Mus musculus: one gene and its partners. The protein of the gene in region 3 purifies or fractionates together with the protein of the main gene of each other region. This does not show direct contact. Links are inferred from orthologs where the notes say so. Each region holds a gene or a part of one and is shown on either strand. Other genes may lie near its edges.

The links.
Region 1: the proteins of Polr2l (region 3) and Rpap2 purify together in Homo sapiens (affinity purification with mass spectrometry; 3 studies listed by BioGRID and IntAct, with this or other methods). This does not show direct contact. The link is inferred for Mus musculus from reciprocal best matches to the Homo sapiens genes POLR2L and RPAP2.
Region 2: the proteins of Polr2l (region 3) and Polr3h purify together in Homo sapiens (affinity purification with mass spectrometry; 4 studies listed by BioGRID and IntAct, with this or other methods). This does not show direct contact. The link is inferred for Mus musculus from reciprocal best matches to the Homo sapiens genes POLR2L and POLR3H.
Region 4: the proteins of Polr2l (region 3) and Polr3f purify together in Homo sapiens (co-immunoprecipitation; 3 studies listed by BioGRID and IntAct, with this or other methods). This does not show direct contact. The link is inferred for Mus musculus from reciprocal best matches to the Homo sapiens genes POLR2L and POLR3F.
Region 5: the proteins of Polr2l (region 3) and Polr3c purify together in Homo sapiens (co-immunoprecipitation; 3 studies listed by BioGRID and IntAct, with this or other methods). This does not show direct contact. The link is inferred for Mus musculus from reciprocal best matches to the Homo sapiens genes POLR2L and POLR3C.
Region 6: the proteins of Polr2l (region 3) and Polr1e purify together in Homo sapiens (affinity purification with mass spectrometry; 3 studies listed by BioGRID and IntAct, with this or other methods). This does not show direct contact. The link is inferred for Mus musculus from reciprocal best matches to the Homo sapiens genes POLR2L and POLR1E.
Region 7: the proteins of Polr2l (region 3) and Crcp purify together in Homo sapiens (affinity purification with mass spectrometry; 3 studies listed by BioGRID and IntAct, with this or other methods). This does not show direct contact. The link is inferred for Mus musculus from reciprocal best matches to the Homo sapiens genes POLR2L and CRCP.

The regions. Positions count from the first base shown.
Region 1 is NC_000071.6:107,596,340-107,600,495, reverse strand, and holds the start of Rpap2 (putative RNA polymerase II subunit B1 CTD phosphatase Rpap2), read right to left. Parts: upstream 2,801-4,156; 5' UTR 2,709-2,800; coding exon 2,636-2,708; exon of another isoform or gene 2,239-2,635; coding exon of another isoform or gene 2,193-2,238; intron 1,975-2,192; coding exon 1,929-1,974; intron 1-1,928. Other genes in the region: Glmn (glomulin), read left to right, coding at 3,670-3,708.
Region 2 is NC_000081.6:81,923,414-81,927,618, forward strand, and holds the start of Polr3h (DNA-directed RNA polymerase III subunit RPC8), read right to left. Parts: upstream 2,801-4,205; 5' UTR 2,484-2,800; coding exon 2,373-2,483; intron 1-2,372.
Region 3 is NC_000073.6:141,472,354-141,476,335, forward strand, and holds the start of Polr2l (DNA-directed RNA polymerases I, II, and III subunit RPABC5), read right to left. Parts: upstream 2,801-3,982; 5' UTR 2,770-2,800; coding exon 2,675-2,769; intron 1,052-2,674; coding exon 943-1,051; 3' UTR 1-942. UniProt on the Homo sapiens protein: DNA-dependent RNA polymerase catalyzes the transcription of DNA into RNA using the four ribonucleoside triphosphates as substrates.
Region 4 is NC_000068.7:144,530,745-144,534,244, reverse strand, and holds part of Polr3f (DNA-directed RNA polymerase III subunit RPC6), read right to left. Parts: intron 1,892-3,500; coding exon 1,824-1,891; intron 1,088-1,823; coding exon 1,020-1,087; intron 1-1,019. UniProt on the Homo sapiens protein: DNA-dependent RNA polymerase catalyzes the transcription of DNA into RNA using the four ribonucleoside triphosphates as substrates.
Region 5 is NC_000069.6:96,724,640-96,728,710, forward strand, and holds the start of Polr3c (DNA-directed RNA polymerase III subunit RPC3), read right to left. Parts: upstream 2,801-4,071; 5' UTR 2,710-2,800; exon of another isoform or gene 2,474-2,709; intron 1,361-2,473; 5' UTR 1,342-1,360; coding exon 1,195-1,341; intron 1-1,194. Other genes in the region: E3 ubiquitin-protein ligase RNF115, read left to right, coding at 3,170-3,271. UniProt on the Homo sapiens protein: DNA-dependent RNA polymerase catalyzes the transcription of DNA into RNA using the four ribonucleoside triphosphates as substrates.
Region 6 is NC_000070.6:45,017,468-45,021,408, reverse strand, and holds the start of Polr1e (DNA-directed RNA polymerase I subunit RPA49), read right to left. Parts: upstream 2,801-3,941; 5' UTR 2,738-2,800; coding exon 2,617-2,737; intron 2,136-2,616; coding exon 2,032-2,135; intron 1-2,031. UniProt on the Homo sapiens protein: Component of RNA polymerase I (Pol I), a DNA-dependent RNA polymerase which synthesizes ribosomal RNA precursors using the four ribonucleoside triphosphates as substrates.
Region 7 is NC_000071.6:130,027,824-130,032,105, reverse strand, and holds the start of Crcp (DNA-directed RNA polymerase III subunit RPC9), read right to left. Parts: upstream 2,801-4,282; 5' UTR 2,707-2,800; coding exon 2,699-2,706; intron 1-2,698. UniProt on the Homo sapiens protein: DNA-dependent RNA polymerase catalyzes the transcription of DNA into RNA using the four ribonucleoside triphosphates as substrates.

The DNA of each region.
Region 1 (4,156 bases), on a different chromosome or scaffold from region 3:
CTATAACCACTAACTCCATAAAGACCACTTTTGTATCAAAGAAAGTAAAAAGATATGAACACAGATTACATTACAGGTCTTTATATTAAATACGAAAAGCTTCATGAAAAATAATTTTTCTCACTTTATGCCCATCAATAAAGGTGATGTCATGTACTAAGATTTATATACAATTTGCTGGCTCCAATTATCAAGCACACTGACTGTTTAACCATTCTCCTGACTGACAGATATCTACAGTACCTTACTATGTTCTCTGTCTGTCACAAATGATGGCAGTCAATAATGTTGTCCTGGCAGTTTTACATCAAACTGACACACACTAATGTCACTGGAGAGGAGGGAACCTTAAGAATGCCTCTATGAGAGCTCATGTCTTTAGCTGCATATATAGCAGAAGATGTCCTAGTCAGCCATCATTGGGCAAAGAGGCCCCTTGGTCTTGCAAACTTTATATTCCCCAGTACAGGGGAATGCCAGGGCCAAGAAGTGGGAGTGGGTGGGTAGGGGAGCAGGGTGGGGGGAGGGTATAGAGAACTTTCGGGATAGGATTTGAAATGTAAATAAAGAAAATATTTAATTAAAAAAAAAAAAAAGAATGCCTCTATGAGTTCTAGCTACAGGCAAGCCTAAAGAGCATTTTCTTAGTGATTGATGGGAAGGACCCAGCCCATTTGTGGATGATGTTATCCTAGGGCTTATGCTGTATGAAAGCAGGCTGAGCAAGCCATGCTCAACAAGCCCGTAAGGAGCACTCCTCCATGGTATCTGCATCGGCTCCTGCCCCAAGGTTCCTGCCCTGCGTGAGTTCCTGACCTGACTGTCCTTCCGTGATGAGCAGTGATACGGAAGTGGAAGCTCAGTTCTTGTGAGCAAAACCGACTTGTTCAACAACACATCCTAAGGGCCTAACTCAAATACAGACGATCTTGTATTTGGAAATTATCTTGCAAGAAGAGTCGGTGAGTCCTGAAGTGATGAATGTTAGTCTCTTCAGATGAGTTTTGCTCTAGCTATCTCCTCTGTGACACGAGAGGCCATGACTTTTTGGAAGCTCTAAACTGTAAAGGATGCTTTTGGTTGGTTTGTTTTTAAGTTCCTATTTAACGTTACAAAGAAGACAAAAACAAAATAAAAGAAAACAAAAAAACGGGCAGTGGTGGAGAACGGTTTTAATCCCAGCACTTGGGAGGCAGAGGCAGGCGGATTTCTGAGTTTGAGGCCAGCCTGGTCTACAGAGTGAGTTCCAGGACAGCCAGGGCTATACAGAGAAACCCTGTCTCGAAAAACCAAAGGGGGGGGGGAGGGGAAAGAAAGAAAGGAAGGAAGAAGGAAAGAAAGAAAAGAAAGAAAAAAGAAAAGAAAAACAAAACAACAACAGAACAAAAAACCCAGAAGACAAAAGGTGCCTTGAAGTGATAAAGAAAGAACCTGCTTCAGCGAGCTTGGCACATACAACAGTAATAGTGTACCTGAAGAAATGGGAAAGATTGGTTAATTCAGGAACTATGTCCCCAGAACTTTCTACAGGTGTTCATGATAGTTTCCAACAGCCTAAGCCTCCACATTGGTTTTCCTACAGCTGAAGGACAGAGCAGTCTTACGTGAGAATCGACAGTGCTTCCTGAGTCTTCAGTATTTTCTCAAGAAAGGTATGCACTATGCTTTTAAACTATTTGGGCTGGAGTATAGCTCGGTAAATTAGACAAAGAGCTTCATTAGAATGTACAAAGTCTTTAAGTTCAATTCCCAGATTGCAAGATCAGAAAACAGAACATCAAAACAAAAAAACCAAAACCAAAAAGAAAAAAGAAAAAAAAAAAAAAAAAAAAGAAAAGAAAAAAAAAAAGAAAAGAAAAAAAAAACCAAATCAGATTGAATTAATGAGATAAAAGCAAAGTGAAATGCAGATGCCCACGTGGTTCTACCTTTTAGATGCATCTCCTCGTTTCAGGGCTCGGGTCTGTTTAGTACCTACAATTGAAGAGAGAAAAGTCAAGTGCCAATGCATTTGATGTAGCAGAGTAGTCCCCAAATATCACACTGTAGGCACCATTTCCTTTTCTCTCACACATCTCATTTCCAACTTCGATGTGTACAAAAAAAGAAAAACAACCCCCCCCCCAGAAAAACAAAAACAAAAGGGGGGGCTAAACAGGAAGCAAATTCAATTGTTTCTGTAAATTAATTACATTTTACATTTTCATGACGGCAGTCTCTTCGAGGACTCTTTCTCATCGGATGCGCTTTAATCAAGTGCTTTTAAAACACTCTCTAAACTGGGTTCCTTTAGAATAAACATTGCTCAGTCTCCCAAATGTTTGTTCCCTTGCCTAAAGAGAGGAGTCTGAGACCTCAGAGACCAGATATCAAAGCAATCCAAGGTTCAAGGCAACTGACCACCACCTGCCTTGGCCACTTGTTCCCACGTACGGGTAGATCCTAAAACCCCTGTGTAAGAGTGTGGGATTCCTCCCCCGAAGGCACTAGGACAGCCTGCGTTGGGAAGCTCTGGGCCTCATCCACCCGGAGTTCTCGCTCTCCCCGGCGCAGCCTCAGAAAGAGGCCCGCGCGTGCGTGGTACTCAAACCAAGGTCTCAGGGTCCCAGCCTGGGACGGTGGCTCTTGTTCGTACCGGTAGCATCTCGGTGGGTGCTGGAAGCCCGGGTACTTGGGCCTAGAGAGCAAGGTACGGCAGAGTCAGCCATGGGGAAATGCGGTCAGAAGAGGGGGTCGGGACAGCACATCTACCTCCTCACGCTTCGCCCGGAACCGGGCTGGGGGCGGGCCCAGGGAGGGCGGGGCGAGCGGCGGAGGGGGCGGGCCCAGGGCGGGGCGGGGCGAGCGGCGGAGGGGGAGGGTCCGGTCCGGGGGCGGGGCCAGGAGTGCGGCCTGCGCTACCTGAAGTGGAGAAGGAGGAGGAGGGCAAGAGGCAGGCGCGTGGATCGGCGGGTAGGTAGACATGCTGGGTCGGGCGGATCGGGCTCGCCGAACAGGACCTGCGCCGCACGCGGCTCTCCTGCTCGGCCTCTGGAGGTGCTGGAGCCTGGACACCCTGCCCTGCAGGAGCAGGGAGAAATGGCCTCCCTTCGCCTCAGCCAGGCGCGGTAGGGTGTGATTTTCCTGTTCGCGCCTGCGGGGCAAGGACCTTCGCTGCTGGCCTCCTTTTCGTGATACTCGGTGATCTCACTGACGATTGTTTATGTGAGGAGGGAGATCCTGTGGAGAATGGGGTGGGCGGCATCGGAATCTTCAACTTCTTTGGGTGACTTAATTATGTTGGATTCCAGTTTTTGTCAATGGGACATTTAAAAAAATTACTTAATGATTAGATTTTTCATTCCAGGTCCACAATTTGGATTTTTGTTTTCCTTTTAAACAAAGGCTTTTCTAGTAGTTCTTTCTAGGGCTCTTTTTATTTTTTTACTCGTCATTCTTTAAAAATTACTTTCTTTAGGCATTATATCAGGGGCTTTTAAAAATGCTTCATTAGGCTAACACAGTAACGTTCAGTAATAGCAGTTAACCTATAAAACTTTACATTGTGTTTGTTGTCTAATAATTCAGAATGAAACGGTTTATGAAACATAATTTACATGGTATCACACAATTAACTGGGTTTTTTTGTATTAGTTCATTACAGCATCAAAATTAGGAAAATAATTAGGAATGGCTGTGGAGGAACTTCAGAGCATAATAAAAAGATGTGTAAGTACTTCTCCGAAAACACCTTTAAATATATGGGAAGGGCATAGAGTATCTTTACTTTGTGGTCACTCATGTTATTTATCTTAACTAAATTCTGCTTCTTCTTTTTTGACTTGTAAATATCAAAAAATCAGGAAAGTAGATTAGATGATAATGATGATGGTGGTGGTGACTTTCAATCCTAGTACTTTTGGGAGGCAAAGGCAGAGGGGTCTCTGATTTTGAGGCTGGCCTGGTTTACATGGTAAATTTCCAGGACAGCTTGGGCTATGGAGAGAGAGAGAGAGACCCTCGCTCACAAGGGGCATAAGGGGCTAGAGAGATGGTTCAGTGGTTAAGAGCACTTGTTCTTGCGGAGGACCTGGGTTCATTTCTCAAAACCCAGGCCCTGTTCTGGCCCACAATGGGCATCAGGCACATGCATATGTATGAAGGTAAACGTTAGTAA
Region 2 (4,205 bases), on a different chromosome or scaffold from region 3:
ACTTCAGAGCTGGGGCAGAGCTCCCAGCAGTCGTCATCTGTGGAGGTTTCTCTCTCAGGATCCAGTGAACTGACCTCACCCGGGCATGGTGATCTCTGCCTGTAATCCCTGCAGCTGAGAGGGGGAGGCAGGGGTATCCGAAGTCCAAAGCCATCTTTGGTTACACAGTGGATGTAAAGTGAATTCAAGTCCCATGAGATGTGGGGAGATGGTATTGGCAAAATGGTTCAGCAGTCAAGGTAGATCCCAGGACCCCTTTCTCCTTATGAGCTGTGCCGTGGCCTATTCATGTGTGCTGTGGTATATACACCCACATTCAAAATAAATCCATGTAATGAAAGAAAGAAAAAAAGAAAGACAAGACAGACAGACAGACACAGACAGACAGACCTGGATGTCATGGCTGACTAAGTGTGACCTCCACAGGCCCATAAATGTGAATGCTTAAGTCATCGGAGAGGGACACAACTTGAGAAAGATTAGAAAGAAGGTATGGCCTTCTTGTGTCAGTGGGAGTGGGCTTTAAGGTTTCACAGACCCACAGCAGGCGAGCGTTACTCCCTTGGCAGTGGAGGACATAGCTCTCAGATCCTACTCCAACACCACGTGTGCCAGCACGCTTCCACCACAATGCTGAAGGACAACCTCCGCAACAGTAAGCCCCCAGTAAAATGCTTTCTCTTGTCACCTTGCTCATGGTATTTCCTCACAGCACTAGTGCAGCAACTAAGACTGGGTGTGACACGCACCTTCAATCCTAGCACCTGGGTGGCAGAGGCAGATGGTTCTCTGGGATTGGAAGGGCAACGTAGACTATAGCAAGTTCCAGGCCAGCCAAGGCTACATAGTGAGATTGTCTCAAAAAAAATTAAAGGATTGTCAGTGAGCTCTCTCCTCCTCCATGTGACAAGCCTCAGATCTGTGTGTGTACCTTCTCCTAGGGCCTCAGTCTCCTATAAGGGACTACCTGTCTCCTGTAAAAGCCAAACTCGCTCTTTCTTTCTGGCTCTCTGAAGATCACATCCTACCGACCCGTAAAGAACAGCTTGGACTATAAGGCCCTCCAGGGCTCTGTGGTCTGGCTTCCGTCTACATTTCCGTTCCAGCTACACCAGCATTCTGTGCCTCTCCTGCCTCAGGACCTTTGCACATGCTAAATGCACTGCCTCCACAGCTCTACACCCAACCTACTCCAACCATCGAAACAGAGTCTCTCTACTTTGCTACATCCATTCCAGTAGTGACCCGCTTGACAGGCCCAAAAGCCTGGACACAGTCCCAAAGTGAAAAGTTCACAGAAAGGCCTGTCCGAGGCATTACTTGGTGTCTTCCCACCATCAGCTCTCAGAGCAATGGCTGTTTCCTCAGAAGTCACCCATCTCTTTCATCCCGGGTGACACTCCCCTGTTCCCCACTCTGTGAATGCCTGTCCTTCATGGCATTTACCCCAGCTCATTACAACAAGACATTCTCAAGCCAACTTCTTCTCACTAGGCTACAAGGGCAGAGCCTGTGTCTCCCATTGGAGAGAGTGAAAGTCCGAGAAGGCCCCTGTAGTCATAGAAAGGGAAACACAGTAACCAAATGAATACAAGAAAGGGGCTACTGAGCTGGCTCAGCCGGTACAGCTGCCTCCCTCTAAAGCTGAAAGCTGAGTTCAATTCTAGAGACCCGCACGCTTATCCTCTCACCTCTACTCTCACACTGTGGGCAACACAGATAACACAAACCGAGGCCCAGAGAGGGTGACTTGGCCAAGACAACACAGTAATTGAACGAGGAAACAGGCATATTCCAGTTTCTGTTTTACAAACCCATTTTGTACACACGCTCTCTCCGTTTTGTTTTCTGGCAATCCTGAGAACCGAACCAGTGACTCCGCGAATGTCAAGCAAATTCAAGCACTGTTCAGCATCCTGATGCTTTTTGTTTCTTTTGAGGCAGGGTTTCTCCGTTGTAGCCTTGGCTGTTCTAGCACTCCCTCTGTAGACCAGGCTGGCCTCGAATTCACAGAAATCCGCCTGCTTCTGCCTCCTGAGTTATGGGATTAAAGGCATGCGCTACCGCCAGCAGCTTCGGTGCTTTTAATTTGTCTGAGTCAAGGGCTAACTATATTGCCCACGCTGGCCTCGAACACAGGATCGTCAAAAAGCCTCAATAGCCAAGAAGCTCGGATTACGGGTGTGCACTACCTCGCCCGGCCCATTTACTCCCTTGTGTACACGTTGTCACCCAAGTCTGGTTTATAAGGATGCGAAGGAAAAAAACCCCGACATGAAGTTAAGTGTGCAAGGCCAAGGGTGAACCAGGCGATAGCCAGACTAGCAGTGGGACCGGTAGGGACACTGCCGGGCAGCCCGAGGGCCCAGTACCTTGTTGGCCAATTTCTTGTTCAGCTCCTCAGCAATGGAATCGTTGAGTTTCCGCTCAAACTGCCACGGGGGTATGCGCACGGTGTCCACCATCTCCACCAGCACGAACATCCTGCGCTAGGGCTCTGGAGACCGGAGAGGCTGCCAAGCACGGGGGCCTGCGAGCTGTGATGGGGTGGGGGGGACCCGAGCCTCCTCCGTCCCTTCTCAGCCTCTGACAAGCCAAACCTGCAGCCGAGCTGCGCGGGAGGGCCTGGGCTCCAATTCTGGAAGCTACGCTCGTCTCCCGGAGGAAACTGAGGCCCGCTCCCGCCAGCCTTGGAGGAGCGCCGGCTCCCCGTCCCCGGATGCCACCCTGGCCTCGTTCCGTCCGCACCACGCGCGGGAGCCACGCGCGTCCAGCAACGCTGCGCTTGCCAAACCAAATCAACTCAGCTTCCGGAAAACTGACCAATAAGAAGCATCTGCCCGCCCCTGCGGGTCGCAGAGCTTCGCGAGGCTCCCGTGAGGGGCGGGGCCGGAAGGTGGGCGGGGCCGCCAGCACTCTCCCGCAAGTGAGAGAAGAGGGGCGGGGTAGAGTGCCGAAAGGGCGGGGCCCCATCCTGAAGCAAGCCAACCCCGGGCCCCTGAGAGAGTCTGGTTGCTAGGCGACAAGTCTGCACTTCAAGCCTGATTGTCTTTCTTTTGCACAACAGCCAGATAGACCCTTTGAAAATACAAATTTAACACGTTCAAAATAGTCTTTACTCCAGACAAAGTACCCAAGAGAGTGGGCAGAAAAGGGTCGCCGGGCCTTCCTGGATGATGTCATTTTAAGTGGTGCATTTGATGGATATGCTCACCAAAGCTCAGCACACAAAGCTTAAACAGCTGAAACAGACTCACGCTTGTAATACCAGCGCAAGAGAGGGTGAGGCTGGACAATCACTGCAAGTTCAAGACCAGCCTGAGTTACCAAATGAGATCCTGTGGCCGGGCAGTGCTGGCGCACGCCTTTAATCCCAGCATTTGGGAGGCAGAGGCAGGCGAATTTCTGAATTCGAGGCCAGCTTGGTCTACAGAGTGAGTTCCAGGACAGCCAGGGCTACACAGAAAAACTCTGTCTCGAAAAACCAAAAAGAAACAAAAAACAAAAAACACAGATCAGCTACATAGTGAATTCAAGTCTAGCCTGAGGTACAAAAGACTTTTTGTTTGTTTGAGACTCTTTCTAAAAAGAAAAAGGGGGGTGCCTAACAATGATGGTGACACACGTCTTTAATCCTAGCACTTGGGAGGCAGAGGCAAACGGATCTCAGAGTTTGAGGCCAGCCCAGTCTACAGAGCAAGTTTCTGGACAACCAGGACTGAACAGAATAATCCTGTCTCAAAAAAACAAAATAGAAAAATTTTCTTGCTGCACACTTTTAATCCCAGCAGTTGGGAGGGGCAGAGACTGTCAAATTTCTGAGAGTTAAGACAAACCTGGTCTACCAAGAGAGTACAAGATAGTCAAGGCTATACAGAACACACTCCCTCCCCCACCCAAAAAAAAAATGAGGAGAAAAAAAATAAGGCATTTTGGGCTGGGCGTTGATGGCACACACCTTTCATCCAAACAATTAGAATGCAGAGGCAGGAGGATCTCTCTGAATTCGAATTTGAGGCCAGCCTGGTCTACAAAGCAAGCTGCAGGACAGACAGGGCTACACAGAGAAACCCAGTCTCATAACACATGTAAGACAACAGTGTGCCTTTCTAGAAACAAAGTATTTCAGGGAATTGACAGGAGAGGTAAGAATTGATTAGCAATGATCTTCATAATATCAGTAAGTAACTTGTTTTACATTTCTA
Region 3 (3,982 bases):
CTGGGAAGATTCTGGAAACAAGATCCTCAGGCATGGGCAGCAGATAGGCTCACACAGCTGATGGGCTTTAGGACCCAAGAAATTCGTGAGGCCTGTGGCCTTGGGCGTACTCCTACAGTATCTGGGTTTGGTTGGGTGGCACAAGCCGTCCTTTAAACTCAACACTCGGGAGGCAGAGACTGATCTCTTTAGTTCAAGGCCAGCCTGGTCTGCAGAGTTGAATTCCAGGATAGTCAAGGCCAAACAGAGAAACCCTGTCTTGGAAAATGAAAGGTAAATAAATCTGGGTTTGATTCCCAATACCTGATGGCAGCTTATACATTCTATAACTTTACTCTCAGGGGATCTGGCCTCTGTGGGGACACAGTGATACAAAGACTTATAAGCAGACCAAATACCCAAATGCATAATAACCCTAGCACAAGGATTGGGACCTCCAAGCACGCTCAGCATTCCAAAGGAATATTGTCACCAGGCTTGGGCCCATCCATACCTGTGGATGGTGTGGTGCCCACATCCATTATGCCCATCCTGAACACAGGCAGGAAGCGGAGAGGCCCTAAAGCAATGTGGTACAAGACTACTGTAGGGCTACCTCGTTGATCAAAGTGGTCAAGGCCCCGGGGAACGGAAGCAGGGTACTCCTCCACAGGACGAGACTCCCAGTCAGATGAAGGGGAAGGAGACCAGCCCTAGGGGAAAGACTGGAGGCAGGCCAGGTAGCCTCAGAGACAGCACAGACATGGACATGGAGCACCTTGGAAGTTAGACCTGTTGGTGGTTCTGCAAACATCTTTACTAAACAGTTCCTTCCAGGGTAACAGGACTTAGCCACAGGGCCACAGCCAGGCAATACACCAACATCCCCAATAGCTCAGTTTGAACATAGCACGACAGGCTGCCCGTGGCCAGCAGGAGACAGAGGAGGGCAGGCTCCAGCGGTCACTTCTCTAGGGGTGCATAGTTCAGCAGCTTCTCAATCAGGTCCACGTGTGCTAGCAGCATGCGGCGGCAGCAGTAGCGCTTTAGGCCCAGAGCGTCCAGGGCATCCCTGTAAAGAGAAGAGTGAGGCTGGATGTGGTCTCTAGAGTCTGGATAGGTTTGGAACCACCTCCAGCTTGCCTCTGGGTATTCGTGTGGATAGGGGTTACCAGAGCACATCTACATAATCAGCGATTGAAACCTGACACCAGGCCATAGGGAAATGGCCTGGAGATTTCTGAAATATGTATCTAGATGCTCAGGGAGGAGCCAGGTGACCCTTTCCCCACCTAGAAGTTACACCTGCTCATGTGCCAGTCTTCTCCCATAGCATCCTGTATCCATCCTTAACAGCCTTCTGCCTACACCTGTTTTTTAAAATTTCGTTTTATGTGTATGGGTGCCTGATGCTCCCAAAGCCCAAAGGAGTTACGGACACTTGCGAGATACCATGTTGCTTCAAGGAACGGAACCTGAGTCCTCTTAAAAAACAATCAAACAACCAAACACACAAAACAGCCAGTGCTCTTAACAGTTGAGCCATCTAGCTGGGTGTGGTGGTGCACACCTTTAATCCCAAGCACTTGGGAGGTAGAGGCAGAGGCAGGTGAATTTCTGAGTTCGAGGCCGGCCTGAGCTACAAAGTGAGTTTCAGGACAGCCAGGGCTACACAGAGAAACCCTGTCTTGAAAAACAAAACAACAACAAAAAAAACAGTTGGGCCATCTCTCTAACCCCCTGTATCTCTGCGTTTGTCTCTTGTACCCAGGGTTATGGGCTTCCAGGGTTATTTGGGAAAGCTTAGGAGACCAATATCCCCTCATCAAGGAGTACAATTCCAGGCCCCACAGGTGGACTCTGACTAAACGCCATGAACTGGTTGTTGCTACCCCACAGGCTTTGAACTCACACTAGATTTAATTTCTCTGGGACCTAGACAGCTTGAGAGGTTCCTGCCCAAGTGAAAGAGGGTCCCAGAAGGCTAGCAGCTACTCATCAGAGCTGATCTAATAGCTGCTCATTAAGCCCCACTGACTTATGGCTTGTGCAGAGAAAGAGAACCCCTTGGTGTTGACATGGTGGCCAGAGGTCTATTTTGGGGGACAGTCATAGTAGTGAGCACAAGACGATGCCCACAAAGCCTGTCCTGCATTTTAAAGGGCCCACGAGGTTCGAAGTACATAAGGGGTAGGTCGGAAAGCAGATAGAGGATAGAGAGTAGGTCGACAGGGAAGAGACTTGAGGTGTCACCCACGGGAAGGATGCTTAGAAGTTTCCCAAAGGCCAGCAACTTGAAGAAAACCACCTTCCAAACTTCTGAGAGCCTGGGCGTGATATTGCACGCCTTTAATCCCAACATCCAGGAGACAGGCAGGATTTCGAAGTGTTTCAGACCAGACTGCTTTACATAGAGAATTCAGGTCAGCCACCGAAATCCTGCCTCGAAAACAAACTAAAGACTCACTCTTCTGGGAATACATCACAGGTCTGGGCTGGAGGACATCCAGTCTTCTCACTAGACCCCACAACCCCTGCCCTGCCAATTCTCCATAGGAAATCTTATCTACCCCCGGCCCAGGACACCTCAATTTCACTCCCGGTCCGCCGCAGAACCCTCCCCATTGCCCCTCGACTTCATGCCCCCAGTCCAGCCTTCCCGTCCTGTCCCATCCCCCGCGGCCCGCCGTCTCACCCCTCCGTGTACTCGGCCTGCAGCAGACCCAGGTAGGCTTCCCATTTGTTGCCGACGATCTTCCCGCAGGTGAAGCAGCGCACCGGGATGATCATGGCGGCGTCTGGCGTGCAGGCTGCCGGCAGTAGCTTTTCAAGGCCCGCCCCAGGCGCGCCCATAGCGCGGGGCTCATTACGCCCTAGCTCCGCCCCGTAAGATCCAGAGCCCCGCCCCGCATCTCCCTGAATCCCGCCGCAGCCCTGCCCCGGCTCCCATGATTACCCTGAAGCGGCGGTGTTCCTTGCTCGTGCCCACCCGGGGCTCCGAGAGCCTCCGAGCCCGCGGCAGCATCCCGGTCCCCCCCCTCCCGCTGTGGTGGTAGATCCCGGCGCTACGGCGTCCGAGCAAGGCCGAAAGGTCCGCGGCCGGCGGTTCGCGTTTCTCGTGTTGCCTTGACTGACAGCTGCTCCGCCGTGCGGCGGCGCGCACAGGTACGGCGGTTCTAGCGGGCTGGGGTCCCGCTGGCCGGATCGCAAGCCGACTGGAGCCAAGAGGTGGTTAACAAGTGGTGGTGGCGCAGCCGGAGAGCGGGCTGCCGACTGTCCACGGCCAAGGCGGTCTTCCCGCCTCCTGGCCCGGACTCCAAGGGGTCTCGGTCTGGAGCCCTTACCCGAGGTGCCCAGGCAGAGTCCGGGCCTTGGAGTTTGGGGCGTCCTTCTCTTCGGCCGCTGCAGAACCGTCGGCGGTACGGTGTCCCGAGCCCCGACGGCGGCCTCCCGCGCTCAGTACAGTCCTCTCCTCTGAGAAGGGTCTTTTCCTGGGGAGAGGAGCAGGGCGGTGGTCCGGGAAGGCGTCATGGAGGAGGCACCCTATGAACAGACCTTCTAACCTCTTTTTCCCGGGATATTTGGCTCAGACGCGGAGATTGCGTGCGAGACTGCTAGTGGCCACAGGTCTGCCTCACCTGGACGTGACTTAAGGACTTAAGGGAATGGGCAAGGAGCTGGTTTCTGGGGAGTGTATCACCTTGGCCGCCTTCTTGTGTGTTGGGAGCTACCCTTAGGAAAACGAGGCAGCTTGCAGTGAGAAGCTGGAGAAGTTCGATAGAGCTTGGGAAGTTTGAGATCTGGTTACAGTGAAGGCTCTGGGGGGTCCTAGACATTTTCCAGGTGCCTCTGGGAAACAAACGATGGAGGGGAGGTCGGGAGGGGTCTCCTGGGTCTTGAGTGTGGCTGGTCGGAGCCACTGGCCAGCTTGGTGGTTGTGCCCCCGATGTCACCCTGGACAGCCTCCCTGGCAGCTTTTGCCATCCCCCATGGAGCCACGTGC
Region 4 (3,500 bases), on a different chromosome or scaffold from region 3:
GTTTTCAGAACCTAAAACCTGAAGAAACCAAACCAAACACTGGGATAGAGACAGACTACAAGAGCCAGTGATAAAGTATATGCTTTGTCATTCTAACTGAACATTTCCTGGAATCTTGGTGTGGTTTTGTTTTGTTTTGTTTGTTTTTTGAGAGGGCCTCACTATGCAGCTGCGGTACAGACCATGCTGGCCTTGAACTCAGAGATCCACCTGCCTCTGCCTCTCCTCGTACTAGGATAAAGTGATGTATCACCATCTAGAGGGACATTTTCTAAAATATATATAAAACAACAACATTTTTGTAATGAAAAAAAAAAAAAAAAAAAACCCCACCACACAAACCACGAACATGGTTGAATTAGCTTACATCACATCTCCTTTCCAATCTTTTACCCTAATCTCATCTTCCTGATAGTTTCACTTCGGTGGCGCACACCTTTAATCCCAGCACTTGGAGGGCAGAAGCAGGCAGATTTCTGAGTTCGAGGCCAGCCTGGTCTACAGAGTGAATTCCAGGACAGCCAGGGCTACACAGAGAAACCCTGTCTCGAAAAACAAGAAAAACGAAAACAAACAAACAAAAACCAAAAAAAACACTGTAAATGAAAAGGAACTTAAATTTGAATCATGTTCATCTGCCATCTTCAACCATGGGGTGGGGGTGGGGGATACAAAAGTTTACCTGCTTCAATTCATGTACATCTATTATTTAAACAACATCCTACTTGTAAGATGGAAAAAAATAAGGCTATGGTTCTTAAACTCAATACCCATTGTGGGAAGTTATGAGTTTTCCTTCAAACAAAGTTGTACATGAAGAAAGAGACTATGTACAAAACATACATGCTTAGCTGCATGTAACAGGATATGCCTGCAATCTCAAATATCAGGAAGACCAGACCAGAAGATACTGAGTATGAAAGCCTGGTCTACAGGATGGGACCTTCTCGTAAACAAATGAACAGAACACTTTTTTAGGTCTAGCCCTGCAGACAGCACCTCACCCTTCCCATACTCACCTTTATTCCCTGCATCCTCTATGATTTGATAGACCAGTTTTTCCTGGTTATCGGACCCCTTCATTTTACTGCAGGGAATAGAGCAGAATTAAAAAAGGAAAAATTGTAGGCTGTGTTATCATCTGCATGACTACTTCATTAGCAGACAAGGCTATCATGCTGACTTATTTAGCAAAAGAAAGGCTTACCTTAAAAAGAATGAGACAGAGTTGTGTGTAACAATATGAAAAGATGTCCAAAGTACAATAAATAATAAAAAAAAAAGTTACAGAACAGTATGGATAGCATGATCCAGACTTGTGAGAGAAAGAAAGAAAAGAGAGAAAGAAGAAGAGCGAGAAAGAAAGGGAAAAAAGAAATAATATATATAGAATCATCCATGAATATTTAAATCTGTCTAGAAGAAATTACCAAGAGCAGGTCCTCTGGGAAATGGAAACACAGAACAAAAGCAGGATGGTACAGTTTCTTCTGGGTTCTTACTTCGAGGCAGGATCTTTTGACACATAGCTTAAAATTGTCTTCAACCTTATCATTCTGCCTCTGCCCCCATGTGTCAAGACTACAGGTGTGCACCACATACTGAGCTACATTATGTTCATACAGTCTCTCACATAGCTCAGGCTGGCCCTCAACTTGCTGTGTAGCTCAGGATAGCCCTAAATTTTCTGCCCTACTTCCCAAGTGCAGTGATATGGGTGTGTGCCACAATACCTGTTACTATGTTAGCATTTGTTTTAATATGTACATTACTTTTGCAATAAACACATTTTTCACAAAATTAAAAAATAGGTGCTTACTTACCCAGCATTCTGAGAATCCTTTATTCTATATAAGAGGCCTGTGTTACTCCTTAAAAGATCCAACTGACCCTAAAGCGTTTTAAAATAAAATATCATAGTCAATTACTCTGGAAATATATCAGTTCAGATGGCAAGTTTACTACAGTTTTAAATGTGTTGATTATACACACTATTCTGCTACCCACATTTGTTAGTTCTTCATCCGAGACTGAGGATTTTGTTTGCACACCTCAAACAAGGTATTTTTTAAAACTAATATAAAGACAGTTCAAGCTAGAGATACTAATTGTGTCCTATATACTAACCTGGTTTCATAATTTGGCCAGGGCACAAACAAGTTTGTTCTTGTTTTTTTCTTTTCTTTTCTTTTCTTTTTTTTTTTTTTTTTTTTTTGAGACAGGGTTTCTCTGTGTAGCCCTGGCTGTCCTGGAACTCACTCTGTAGACCAGGCTGGCCTCGAACTCAGAAATTCGCCTGCCTCTGCCTCCCAAGTGCTGGGACTAAAGGCGTGTGCCACCACACCCAGCCACAAACAAGTTTTTTTTAAAAATCTATTGTCAGTTGTGGTAGTGGCACATACCTTTAATCCCAGGGCTCAGGAAACAAAAACAGGCAGACATGAGTTTTAGGCTAGCCTAGTAGTCTACAGAGTGAGTTTCTGAACAGTCAAGGCTATACGGAGAAACTCTGTCTCAGGGGAAAAATTATTTTATTTCTTATATATGGATATTTTGCTAGCATATATATCTGTGCACCATTTGTAAACAATGCTCATGGAGGCCAAAAGAGAGCACTGAATCCCTGGTATTGAAGTTACAGCCAGGTGCAAATCATCTTGTATGTGGGTACTGGAAACTCAGGCCTTCGTAAGAGTAGCAAACGCTCTTAACCTGGGGGAAGAAGAGACAGCTCAGCAGTTAAGAAGAGCACTAAGAGTTCTTACACAGGACTGGGGTTCAGTGCTCAGTACCCACATGCAGCTATCAACAGTCTAACTTCAGTTCCAGGAGATCAGTGTCCTCTTGTGGTCTTTGTGGGTACCAGGCATGCATGCAGTGCAGGGACAATACATGCATGCAAAACACTCACACACAATAAATAAAAAGAAATCATTTTTAAAAAGTTGTTTTAGGATAATATATATATATCCATATTGATTCTAAATAAGTCCCAATTATATAAAATATGGATAGATACAATTAAAATAGAATTTGTACTGATAAAAATTTAGTCCAGATAAAGTATAAACATGAATATTCAACAGTATACTAAGTTAAACTATAGTTATTAATGACATTTACTAACATGTACAATTTAATTGTGAATGGAGAATTAGGCAAAAAGGTTAACCAGTGAACAAAAGGTCTCCTGTAGTGGTATTTTTTATAATGAAGCAAAATAAGATAAATCATGTTCTATCGTGCTTTTGAACCTCCTTGGACCTGGGCATCCTGAGAATCCAGATGCATGTACCACTGAACTTGCAGAAGTTATATATAACTATAACCAAGAGGGGGCCCTACTGCATATTAAGAATGTAAAATAGGTTTACTTACTGGATAAACTGCAGTGCCCTCCCTTCTTCATGAAACGGCAACATGGGATCACAAAATTCAATTCAGAGGTCCCCATCTGTCCTTTATTCAGGCTATTCTGGCCACTCACTAAACACCTGTAC
Region 5 (4,071 bases), on a different chromosome or scaffold from region 3:
GCCTGTGTGCCACCACGCCCGGCTTATTTTGTCTGATCTTTATCTTTCTTCTAGTTTTCTGTTTTGAATGTGGTTCTCCTGGAGCCCAGGGAAGCCTTACACTTGTTGTGTATCTGAGGGTGACCTTGAACTTCCCAGCCCCTCCTTTCAAGTCGTGGGATCATAAACATAAACACACCCAGTTCTATACAGTGTTGGAGATCAAAGCAGGACATTTTAGCTGCTATGCAGTGTGAATGGTCTTTGCTACTTTGTGGGTTCTTCTTTTTCCCACCCTTGATACTCCCTTCCCACTCCCATCCCCACCCGGGTTTCACCCTCTAACACTTCATAAGAGAGAAACAAGGAGGAATTAGGAAAATCCCTGAATTTAATTTCTTTCGTTTCTTCTTTGACCAACACTACTAGTAAATCACAACTTCCCTAAATGACCACCAACCCCCCGACTCCACATATTGGGGCTGGCATTTATACACACTCTGAAAAGTTCCCAGAATCCCAGACACTGCACAATCACAGGAACTATCTATAGCTGGCAGAACCATGCCTCTGCTAGAACATGAGGCAAATCATAGACAGTCTGAAGCAGCCCCATATCTGCATACTTGGGATTAAAATGAAAAAATATTCTTATAATATTTTTGTATTTTTTGTTTGTTTGTTTTTTTGAGACAGGGTTTCTCTGTGCAGCCCTGGCTGTCCTGGAACTCACTCTGTAGACCAGGCTGGCCTCGAACTCGGAAATCCACCTGCCTCTGCCTCCCGAGTGCTGGGATTAAAGGCGTGCGCCACCACGCCCGGCTCTATTTTTGTATTTTTAAAGAAACCAAAATCCTCAAACTGTCACTACAATGTAGTCACTCTACCAACTGAGCTACATTCTGGGCCAGGATGGGCAGCCCAGCTTACTTTGTTCTATCACTGTATTCCTTAAAGGCCATACCCCACCAGTAGACTTACTGTGAATAAATGAGTGTGGCATGGGAACAGCCAAGATGAGCTAGGAACACCACAAGCGGCAGTACACGGGGCCTAAGTACAATACCACACCCCACCCCACCCACTGTGGTACTGACCACAGGGCAGACGGTCTCTGTTCATACTTTCTAGGGGAAGGAGTTCTCCTGTCCAAAGGTACTTGAAGGAAATGATTGAAGAAGTTGAAGAGGAACAGACTCTCTTATCTAAACATACCTGGTCCAGGGATGCTTTTGTGTCGTGGGCAATTACTCTAAGTGGCTGGCTTCCAGTTCTGACTAGGTGGACTCCAATTTTTTCTACAATCTCACCAAAATGCTCTTGCAGCAACAAAGAACACAGTTTAATCTCTGCTTGAGTCATCGTTCTTAGAGCCTCAGAACTAGGAAAGAACAACAATATAAATTCACATATTTTTTTTCTAGAGGGCAACTTGACAATATAAATCAAACCCTCTATATATTAAGGCATATATTTGCCTTAATATTTATAAGTTGAGATCCTTTGTTCCAAGGATGTAGTAAAAACCATGCCATGAGTTCTCTTCACAATACTGGCATTGACATAAATAATCTAGCATCTATCAATAAATTATAGTATAACCTTAAGAGAGTATACTATGCCAACATTTAAAATGACTTCATACAATATAACTACCATAAAATATTCCTAATGTGTTGTCATTTAGTAATTGCAATGGTCAGATATGATGGTGTACACTGCCTGTAATTCTTGCACACAGGAGACCAAAGTCAAAGAATCAATAGTTCCAGGTCAACCTGGGCACAAAGTGAGTTCAAAGCCAGCCTGTGTTATACAGCAAGACTCTGGTGGGTAATACACCCACCACCCACCAAAACAAAGAACTAGAAAACTAGACATCAAATTTGTTTTCTAAAGCCAGGTATGGTGGTGCAAGCCTACAATTTCAGCACTTAGGAGGTGGAAGTATGAGGGTCAGGAGCTCATGGTTACATATTGAGTTCAAAACCAGGTTGGCTACATGAGATCCTATTAAAATTAAAAAAAAAAAAAAAAAAAAGGCAAGCCATCCTCCCCTATATATGCCATTTATTTTAATGGGAATATATGTGGTTTGTGGTTCCAATAATCTTTAAAGACTGGATTCATCTCGGTATGGTGGCTAACATCTGTATTTCCAGCACTAAAGCTAGAAGACTGTCATAAACTGAAGGCCAGCCTGGGCTACATAATAAATACCAAGCAAATCTGGTCCAGAGTGAGACCTTTAAAAGCAAAGGGGGAGGGAAAGTGCGAATAACTTTCTGTCACAGATACAAAGACCTAAGGCTCATGACCCAGTGGGGTACAACTTATTCCCAAGCCATAAACCACGACTTAGATAGATAAAGTAAAAAAAGAGCTTCTTAGGGTATTTCAATTAGGAGATGAAGTTATGTTCCATTGAGAACCATATTAAATTTTTACATCATGAGACACAAGCAGGAATGGGTGTAGTTGATTTTGAAATTACCTCCCTATCACAAGCTCCAACTCTCTCGAACCTAAATTTTTGTCCCTCTTGCCACAGTGTCGCAGAGAAGACTATTTCACTTAGCCACACACACGTCTTTGGAGAAACATCCTTAGACCAGTTGCCATCCTTGAATGCATTTCCTGGCTCCTCTCCCTTCATGCAAGTTTCTGTTCCGGACTTTGTTTCTTGGCCCTGAGTCAGGGCCTCCTCATTCCGGCAGCGTTTTCACTAACCTCAGGGTCGGGGCTAATTTAGAAGCTCCAAATGTTGTCCTCCCGAGGCCAGCAGCCTCAGCTCATGAGCTTCCCATCGCCCCTTCTTAGAAGTAGAGCACCATCCAGGCGGACGCGGAAGGGTCAGAGCACGGGCCGCTCTAGCCGACAGTGTCGGTGGTTTCCGGGGACGCTCTTTCTCTCCTCTCGTTGGGAGGCTGGAGGACCGGCCAGGGGCTGTCTGAGGTGCCGGCGGGCGGGCTCTCCTCTGCCTTTGGTGCCGGGAGGCGGGCCTCGGGTCGCGTGGCCGCTGGCGGGCGGGCCTCTCGGGGCCGGGCGGACTCACGTGACCCTTGCGGGCCTCGGAGCGGCGGGCCGCCCAGAGGAGGCGGCGACGGCGGTGGCGACCGCAGCACGGGAGGTAGCGGCCTGGGGAGGGACCGCCGGCCGCCCTTTCGGACATCCTCGGCGGAGGCGAAACATGGCGGAGGCCTCGGCGGCGGGGGCGGACGCGGGCTCCGCTGTCGCCGCACACCGTTTCTTCTGCCACTTTTGTAAGGGCGAGGTCAATCCCAAACTACCGGTAAGAGCCCCGTGTGTCCCGCGCTCCGGCGCCGCGTAGGTCCTTGGCTCCTAGGGCTGGAAACCGGGTCTTAGGCTGCCCGCACACCCGTGATTCCCTTGACACCGGTGTTCTCGGTACCTGCTGCCCGCTGTCTCCGGGCACTGGTCGCAAACCCTGGGCATCAGGGCCAGGGTCCTGCCTATCCCTCATTTCCGCGGCGTCTCCAATCAGCCCCTCATTTCGCTTCCGCTCTTTAATACCACCCCCATCTTTTTTTGTCTCCTCGGTGAATTCTCGGGCAAATCTGCGTCCAATTTGCTCTCAGTCCCCTTCCTTGTCTTTTCGCGATGACCTATCCCCTGTACTCTTTCCGTTTTTGCGGCTCACCTACTCTTTATTTTTCTTCCCACTTCTCAACCAGATCCTCCCCCCTTCTGCATCCTCAGTGAGCCGAAATAGCATATTGCTGAGGACTTCTTAGTAGGTTTTGTTGAAGTACAGAAAGAGGAGGTTTGGAAGGTAACAGGGAAGAGGGAGATTTTGTTCTTCAGTGGTTTTTGGGTTCTTGTGAAAGTGAAAATAGCAGTGTACCAATGACTTGCAGACTGCGCTCCCTGTTGCTATCGAAGGAAATGGCTTTGGGAAGAAGGTAGGACGTACTGTCTCAACTTATTTTGGATATCACGTTGCCAGTGTCTTTAGCTCCACTTTCCTAGCCCACCCCCTCCATTTTTTTTTTTTTTCTGCCCAGGAAAACAAAAAAAGAACAGAATGTTGGGACTGCTTTCTCTGATATAAAATTGGCTCTGCCAGGCTGT
Region 6 (3,941 bases), on a different chromosome or scaffold from region 3:
AAGCAAGTCCTGGAGAGCCAGGGCTATTCCACAGAGAAATAGCAACCACACAAACAAGCAAACAAACAATGCTTTGCGATTCCATCACGCCCCAGTCAGAACAGCTATCACCGAGAAAACAACTAACAACAAATGCTGGCAGAGATGTGGGGAAAGAACCGTTACTCACTGCTGGTGGGAGTGCAAGCTATTGCTGCCACAGTGGAAGTCAGTGTGGAGGGGTCTCAAAAACTACAAGTGGAAGTGCTGTGTGAGGCAGCTGGACCACTCTTAGGCATACACCCAGAAGGCTCTTCAGTTAGCACACTGTATTGTACTTCTACAATCATGGTTACTGCTGCACGATTCACAACAGCCAGGAAATGGAACCAGCTTAGATGCGCATCAATGACAAAAACAGATAAAGAAAATAGGTTTTCCTCTCCTATGCAGAATCTAGATTTAGAGTGTGTGTGTGTGTGTGTGTGTGTGTGTGTGTGTGAATATGCACACATTCAAGGCATGAGAGTTGAAAGGAATCATAAGAGGTGCAAAAGAAGGGAAACGAGAGGCTGATATAGTATGTATGTAATGAGATATAATGTTGATGTGTTGAGAGTGCTTTGCCTTTATGCACACATGCATGCCTTATCTATGACGTGCCCACAGGAACCAGGAGTGGGTGTTGTGTTCTCAGGAACTAGAATTATAGACAGTTGCTACCTCCATGTGGGTTCAGGGATTGAACCCCGGTCCCCTGGAAGTGCTCTTTAATGCTGAGGCACCTCTCCAGCCCAGTATGTATGTCATGAAAGAGCGACTTATTTGGGAGGGAGGCAAGGGACCAGCAGGAGGGGGATATGGGGGAGGGCAGTGGGCAGAAGGCAGTGGGAATACAGATGAAAATAGCAGTTCTTGAATAAGCAGCACAACGAACTATACAGTGAGGTCTTGGTCTCCTAGCACTTATAGGTACCTAACTGATCCTATACATAACTGCCTTGTGACCTTTCTGACGTTAGCTCGTCCTATGAGGGCTGGCTTCCCATCGCAGCCAAGCTTTTCTTCTCCCTCGTTCACTAGGGCACCAAACATCTGCTATCAAATCGTCCCTCATTCCCATTCACCCTTCTCAGGAAGGCATTCAGACAAGCTGAGACTTGTTTCCTACAGAGCTCCCTCCCCAGGCCCTAAACACTCCCTTAGACCCCAAGCTAGCTCTACTGTATGCCTGTACTACTTGGTGAATTTGAGTCTCTGGAAAGCAGACCGGTCTTAACCCTGGCATCTACCCGGGAGAGACCAGAGATGCTAGTAAGCATCCTGTGGAGCTGGGTGGTGGTGGCACAGGCCTTTAATCCCAGATCCCTGCACTCAGGAGGCAGAGACAGGTAGATCTCTAAGTTCAAGGCCAACCCGAGCTGTACAAAGAAACCTTTGAAAAAACAAGCAAACAAACAAACAAAAAAACCATCACTCTGGGGTCACATTTGATTCACAAGCATCTGTAACCCCAGTTCTAGGGGATCCAATGCCCACTTCTGGCTTCCACTAGCTACACACACATTGTACATAGACAAAAATGAACAACACCCATACACATAAAATAGGGTTGAAGCTGAGCTCTGAACAGTGACCTCCCTAAGAGGTGCAAATCCCATGAAGATGCTTCCTTAGCCTGCGGCATGAGGACATGGTGAACGTTCAATAAGGTCATGTAGGGGGACAACTTATGAAGCCAGGGGTGGGTGGTGCTGCACACCTTTAATCCCAGCACTACGGAGTCAGAGACAGGTGGTGATTCTCTGAGTTCAAAGCCAGCCAGGTCTATATAGTAATTTCCAGGATAGCCAGGGCTACAGGAAGAAACCCTGTCTGGAAAGATAAAGCCCATATAAGTGAAAAGCCCAAAATCTTGCTCCTCAGTGGGGCCAGAGTCTCATTTGCTACTCCTCCTTTCCTCCCCCCCAGGCCAGGTCTCCCATGTCTGCCCACACCAAGAACCTTTTGAGGTCTGCAGAGCCCAGACCATCTGTACCAGCAAGCACTTACCACGATCCGGTGACTCCTCTGCCTGGGGTTTACTAAGTCGGTGCTGTTGTACAAGGTGAAGCGCATGTCGCCCGGATTCTGCAGCTTCCCATTGGAGAACTGGACTGTAAGAGTGTAAGCCAAGAATAAGAGGCGAGGACCAGCAGGGTATGGATGGGGAGACCTGCACTGTGGCTGGACGCCGGTAGTGAAGGCAAGGGAGCTTAAGTCCGACTTTCGGGGGGCGGGGGGGTATGAAGAAAGCCCTGGTCCAGTTCTAAAGAGGGAGATGGAGGAGGGGAGGGGAAGTGACCTCTGGGCAGGGGTTGTGACAAAAGAGAACGACTGAGGAAATGCCATTAACTGGCAAGAGAGGAAACTCTGCTCCGTAGAGGGGGGAAAAGGGCAAATGAGAGAGCTGTGGAGATGTCAGGTCCCTGGGCACTGCCCTGAGACGAGTCCGAAGTGGTGACGATAGATGAATGCGGAGGGAAAAGGTGATGGTGGCAGGGAACCTGTCCCGGCTGCAGGCAGTGGGCTACCGTGGTACCCAGACAGAAGCGGAAAGGATTACGCGGAACTCCGCTCCGGGTCGGCGGTCTTTACCCAGCACAGCTTTCTGCCTGTCGTCGGGCTCTCCACAGTACAGCCACCTTGCACTCTGTAGCGCCTCTGTCTCCGTGTCTCCAGCCTGGTCATCCATCCCAGGAGACTCCAGAGTAGCCATGAGCTCGCCGGTTCACACGCGGACTCAAAAACCGGAAGTGACATTCTAGGCCCCGCCCAGGGTACACCAGCAGTAAGGCCACGCCCCTCACTGGATCGCGTCCCCGCCCACTCTTTGGTTCTTTCCCTTGAGGATCACACCCTCCCCCTTGCAGGAGGATGCAGTAACTCCCCTTTCGTCTCGGACCTCCAGGAGAGCAGCTTCACTTTTGTGTTGTATTGCTCACCGCAGGCTCTAAGCTGTGGGACCAGTCACACCAAAATCTCCAGAACTGTGAACCAAAATAAAAGAAACCGTTCCTCTTTATGAGCTGTCTTCATTTTGTGTTGTTATTGTCGTTTAAGGCCGGCTATCACCATGTGTGTAATCCTGGTTGGTCTGGAACTCATTCTGTGAAACATAATGGCCTCAAATTCACGGAGATTAGACCACCAGCTTTGTCTCACATATTTTGTTAAGGTAATAGAAAAAAACTGACTAATGTAGGGTTTCTCCCTGAGTAATTTCAATGCAGCCACCCAAATAAGAGAGCTAACAGTGATTCAACCATGTAATCTTGTAGTATTCAATTTCCCCAACGGCCTTGATACTGCCTTTTCAGCTAAAAGAGCCTGTCAGAAACCGTGTTGCAGCCTTACACTTGTAATCCCAGCATTTAAGAGCAGGGCTGCCATGAATTTGAGGCAAGTTCAAGTGAGAACTGTCACACATACACACAAATTATACTTTGCTTCTAGCTGTCACAACTCTTTGGTTGGAAGGTTACACTTTCTTTGACTCTACCCAGTGATTTTCTATTGATTCTTTCCAGAAAGGAAAAAAGAATATAAAAGGACTTAGTTAACTAATTAGTCATCCCCCCTTCTGTCAGAATCTTTTCCATACTCAGTTTATTTGAGGTTAGTAATGAATGGTAGAGCCTATTAGAAACATTTCACTTTTTAAATTATTAATTTATTTGGGTCCCAAGAGGGAATGTATGGTAAAGCAAAACTGCTCATCTGGTGGTCAAGGATGAAAGGAGGAAGAAGGGACTGAGGTCTCTGTTCCTTTTGGGCTCAGGTTGTCTTCAAACTCCACTTGTTCTGTGCCTGAGGGTGACTCCCCATCCTCTTGCCAAGTGCTGAGATTACATACACACACCATCACACCCAGCCAGAAAGAAAGTTTATTTCATTTCTTTCACTTCTGCACCTCCAACTCC
Region 7 (4,282 bases), on a different chromosome or scaffold from region 3:
TGCTTTCGTGATTGAGAAACGTGACCTTGGCCATTCCAAGTCACTGCCGGACAACTCAAGCCAGCGCAGAAGGGGACAGGGCGGTGGAGGCAGGATCGCCTCAGTACAGATTGGGCCTTTTCAGTGTGTTTTTGAGACAGGCTCTCACTGTGACAGACTCACAGGCTGGCCTGGAACCTGCTCTGCAGCTGCGGCTGCCCTCGGCCTTGTGCTCCTCCTGCCCCCACTCCTAAGGAGCACGACCCTGGGTCCGAGTGAATTTTAAAGACTGTGGAGTCTGTGCGGTAGGTGGGTGGTTATTCAGTGCCCTTGAGCAACTCCTTAGTGAACTGAAGCTGACTTGCCATTTGAAATTTACCCTGCAAAGTTTGCTGAGTCAGCTCAACAGAAGTAAACAGGCATTTTGGAAAACAGAGTTCTGAATACACAGAACAAAATGATCTATTGACACTCTTTCCTTAAAAGCACACACAAGCACACACCAAACAAGTGAGCAGTGCCTATTAATTGCCACACACCTGACTTAGGGACGGAGTGACGAACAGAATTGCTAAACTTTTCTAAGCTTAAAAGCAGCATGCCATCAATTCATGTTCTGAAAAGCTACCCTTTGATACCAGAAAACAGAAGGCATCGAAGTCAACGAACACTTCACCTAGAGCTCCCTCCCACCTCACAGCCAGCCAACAGGCACTCTCATCTGAAGCCTATTGCTGGCTTGTTATGTATCTGTTGCCTCTCCTTTCTAAGTGCTAGCTGTAAAAGGAAGAAGAGGTCCAGTTTCCCAACTCTGACTATATAGTAGACCATATATTAAAAGGCACAGGGAGCCGGGTGTGGTGGCGCACACCTTTAATCCCAGCGCTCGGGAGGCAGAGGCAGGCGGATTTCTGAGTTTGAGGCCAGCCTGGGCTACAGAGTGAGTTCCAGGACAGCCAGGGCTACACAGAGAAACCCTGTCCCAAAAAAAAAACAAAAACAAAAAAAAAAAGTGTGGAAAAATAAGCTGACAGGTAGCTTTGTTGTTAGTAGAGTGACTGTCTGCATGTTCAGGTCCCTTCCATCCCAAACACCACATGAGAGAGAGAGAGAGAGAGAGAGAGAGAGAGAGAGAGAATATGTGTGTATGTTCGTGTGTGTATGTGTATATGTGTGTGTGTGTGTGTGTGCGTGTATGTGCGTGTGTGTATGTGTATATGTGTGTGTGTGTGTATGTGTGTGTGTGTGTGTGTTAGTAATAAAGTACCTGCTTACCATCCCTAGGTTCTATCCCCAGCACCACACCACATCATCATCACAATAACAATGATAATAACGGTGTGGAAGGTGTCTGTCATTCAGTGGTACCTGCCAAGCATGTGTAAGACTGTGAGTACCATCCCCAACATCACAAAATGATGACCATAATGATGAGGAGAAGGAAGAAGAGTATATCCCAACAACAGCTGGGGGTACTGTTCAGAAATCTGCCTAGTTGCCAGGCGGTAGTGGCGCACACCTTTAGTCCCAGCACTCAGGAGGCAGAGGCAGATGGATATCTGAGTTCAAGGCCAGCCTGGTCTAAAAAGCGTGGTCCAGGACAGCCAGAGCTCTACCGAAAAACCTTGTCTGGAGGGAGTGGGGGGGAAACTTGGCCTGGTTTTCTGGTTGGTCTTAACTGTCAACTTGAAACAGCTTGGAATCATCAAAAGGAGACGAAGCTTCAATGACAAACTGCCTTTTATCAGGCTGGTCTATGGGCATGTCCATGAGGGATCGTCTTGATTATTAAATGATGCAGGAGGGTACAACCTGGCCAACTGGTGGTGGCACAGGCTTTTAATCCCAGCACTTGGGAGGCAGAGGCAGACGAATTTCTGAGTTTGAGGCCAACCTGGTTTACAAAGTGAGTTCCAGGACAGCCAGGGCTACACAGAGAAACCCTGTCTCAAAAAAACAAACAAACAAACAAACAAACAAAAATTAGAAAATGCCAGAGAGTAAACCAGCCATCAGAGTTCTTGAACTGTTTCTGAAGCTTCGGTTTCCTGCCTCGAGTTCCTGCCCTGACTTCCCTCAATGATGGACTGTGTCCTGGAAGTGTAAGATGTAATAAAAACCTTTCTATTCCTAAATTGCTTTGGTCATGGTGTTTGTCACAGCAACCGAAAGAAAACTAGCACACCCAGTACGATCACAACCCTGGGTACCTTCCTCAAATTTCCAAAATAACAATAGCGATAATGGCTGGCGATGCAGGTCGGTGGCAAAGCCTTTGCCCAGCAAAGTCCTGGGTACCATTTCCACCATCACAAAACGATGATGGTGATGATGCTGGCTGGGAATATGACTCAGTCAGTAGTAGAGTGTTTCCCTAGCGTATGCAAAGTCCACATCCCAAGATAGTAATGATAATGACTGGGACGTTATCTCTGGGTCGCACTACTTCCAGACCGCGTGCACGGTCTTGGGATCCATTCCCAGAACCAAAAGAAAGAAAAAAAGGAAACCTCTCTATCCTTTCAACATTCCCCTCCCCAAAAGATGTGGGAGGCGAGCGAGTTCCCAAGCAGCAGGGTCCCTCCCCTGCCGCCCCACTTCCAGGCACTTCCGGCCCGTGCACCCCGCCCACCCGTCCTGCTCGCGGGTCCCGAGGTCTAGCCGCCGGCCGCTTCGCGGTCCCCAGATGATCCTGGCTTCCCCTGGTCGTGTCGCTTACACTTCCATGTTGCCTCTGCCTCAGCGTACGCAACCGCCGTGAGAAGAGTCTCACGTTGCGCCGGCGCTGCTCTGCTCACCGGTTCCGTGTGTGTGCCGCAAGGCACGCTGGGACCGCCGGGGTGCATGCCGGGATCGCTGCGGGGCACGCCCGGTTCTTCCTTAATTCTAGGTGTCCCTATCCTGGTCTAATTTCAGACTGTCGAGCGTTTTCGTAGTGCAGGTTTTGTTAGGATTTGCCTTGGCCGCATTAAAATCCCTAAACCGGTCATACTGGCTCATACCTGTAAACCCAGCAGTAGAGAGGCTGAGGCAGGAGAAGTGTTAGGAGTTTCTGGCCAGCCTGAGCTACATAATGACTTTCAAGCCATGGGGGCTATTTGAGACTTTGTGTTTTTGTTTTTGTTAAAAACAAAAAACACATGCCGGCCAGTGGTGGCGCACGCCTTTAATCCCAGCACTTGGGAGGCAGAGGCAGGCGGATTTCTGAGTTCGAGGCCAGCCTGGTCTACAAAGTGAGTTCCAGGACAACCAGGGCTACATAGAGAAACCCTGTCTCAAAAAAACAGAAAACAAAACCAAAAAAAAAAAAAAAAAAAAAACCAAACAAAATGAAACAAAACAAAAAACATAAGCCAGGCAAGGTAGCACAAGCCTCTAATTCCAACAAGGGGGAAAGAAGGAGGCAGAGAAAAGAGAAACCCAGTCTCAACAGACAGAAATAGAACTGGGGGAATGGTTTAAGCACGTAGGAAGCTGAGGCAGGTGGAATGCCTTGAGTTTGAGGACAGCTTGGGCAACATGGTGAATTCTAGTCAACGTAGGCTATGTAGAGATCCCGTTTCCCATACAACCGTTAAAAATTGGGAGTTGGGGGGGAGAGACAGATTTTCATTAAGTAGCCTTTCAGACTCAGAGATCTGCCTGCCTCTGCCTCCCAGTGCTGAGATTGGTGTGAGTGTTAAAATGGTTTGCAGGGGATAATGTATTAGAAATAGAGGGTGTCTGGCTGGTATGGTGGCACATGCCTTTAATCCCAGCACTTTGGAGGCAGAGACAGACAGATTTCTGAGTTCTTAGTTCAAGGCAGCCTGGTCTACAGAGTGAGTTCCAGGACAGCCAGGGCTACACAGAGAAACCCTGTCTCAAAAAAACAAAAAGAAAAGAAAACTCTGTCTCATAAAAACCAACACATGTGTGTGTGTGTGTGTGTGTGTGTGTGTGTTCAACAGGTACATCCAAGAATGATGGTATTTGAAAATAAGAAAAAATTAAATTAAAAAATTATCAAGTAAATAAAATGTCATCATAACGTAAGACTGAATGGTGCCCTGTACCTGTCTTGAGGAGAATGGGTCCCACAATGGTGTTCATGGTGTTACTCGCTCAACAGTCTTACCGTGATTGCCCACTGGGTGCTGGTGATTCAGATGTGAATAATACACACTCTCCAAGCTAGCTGACAGCCCAGTTGGAGGACCAGTTCAGGGCATAAATAACACACTGTGTTTAGACTCCAGCACAGTCAGGGGAATGACTAACAAGGACAAAGAGGCGTCCCAAAGCCAAGAGTGTTTGAGGTGCA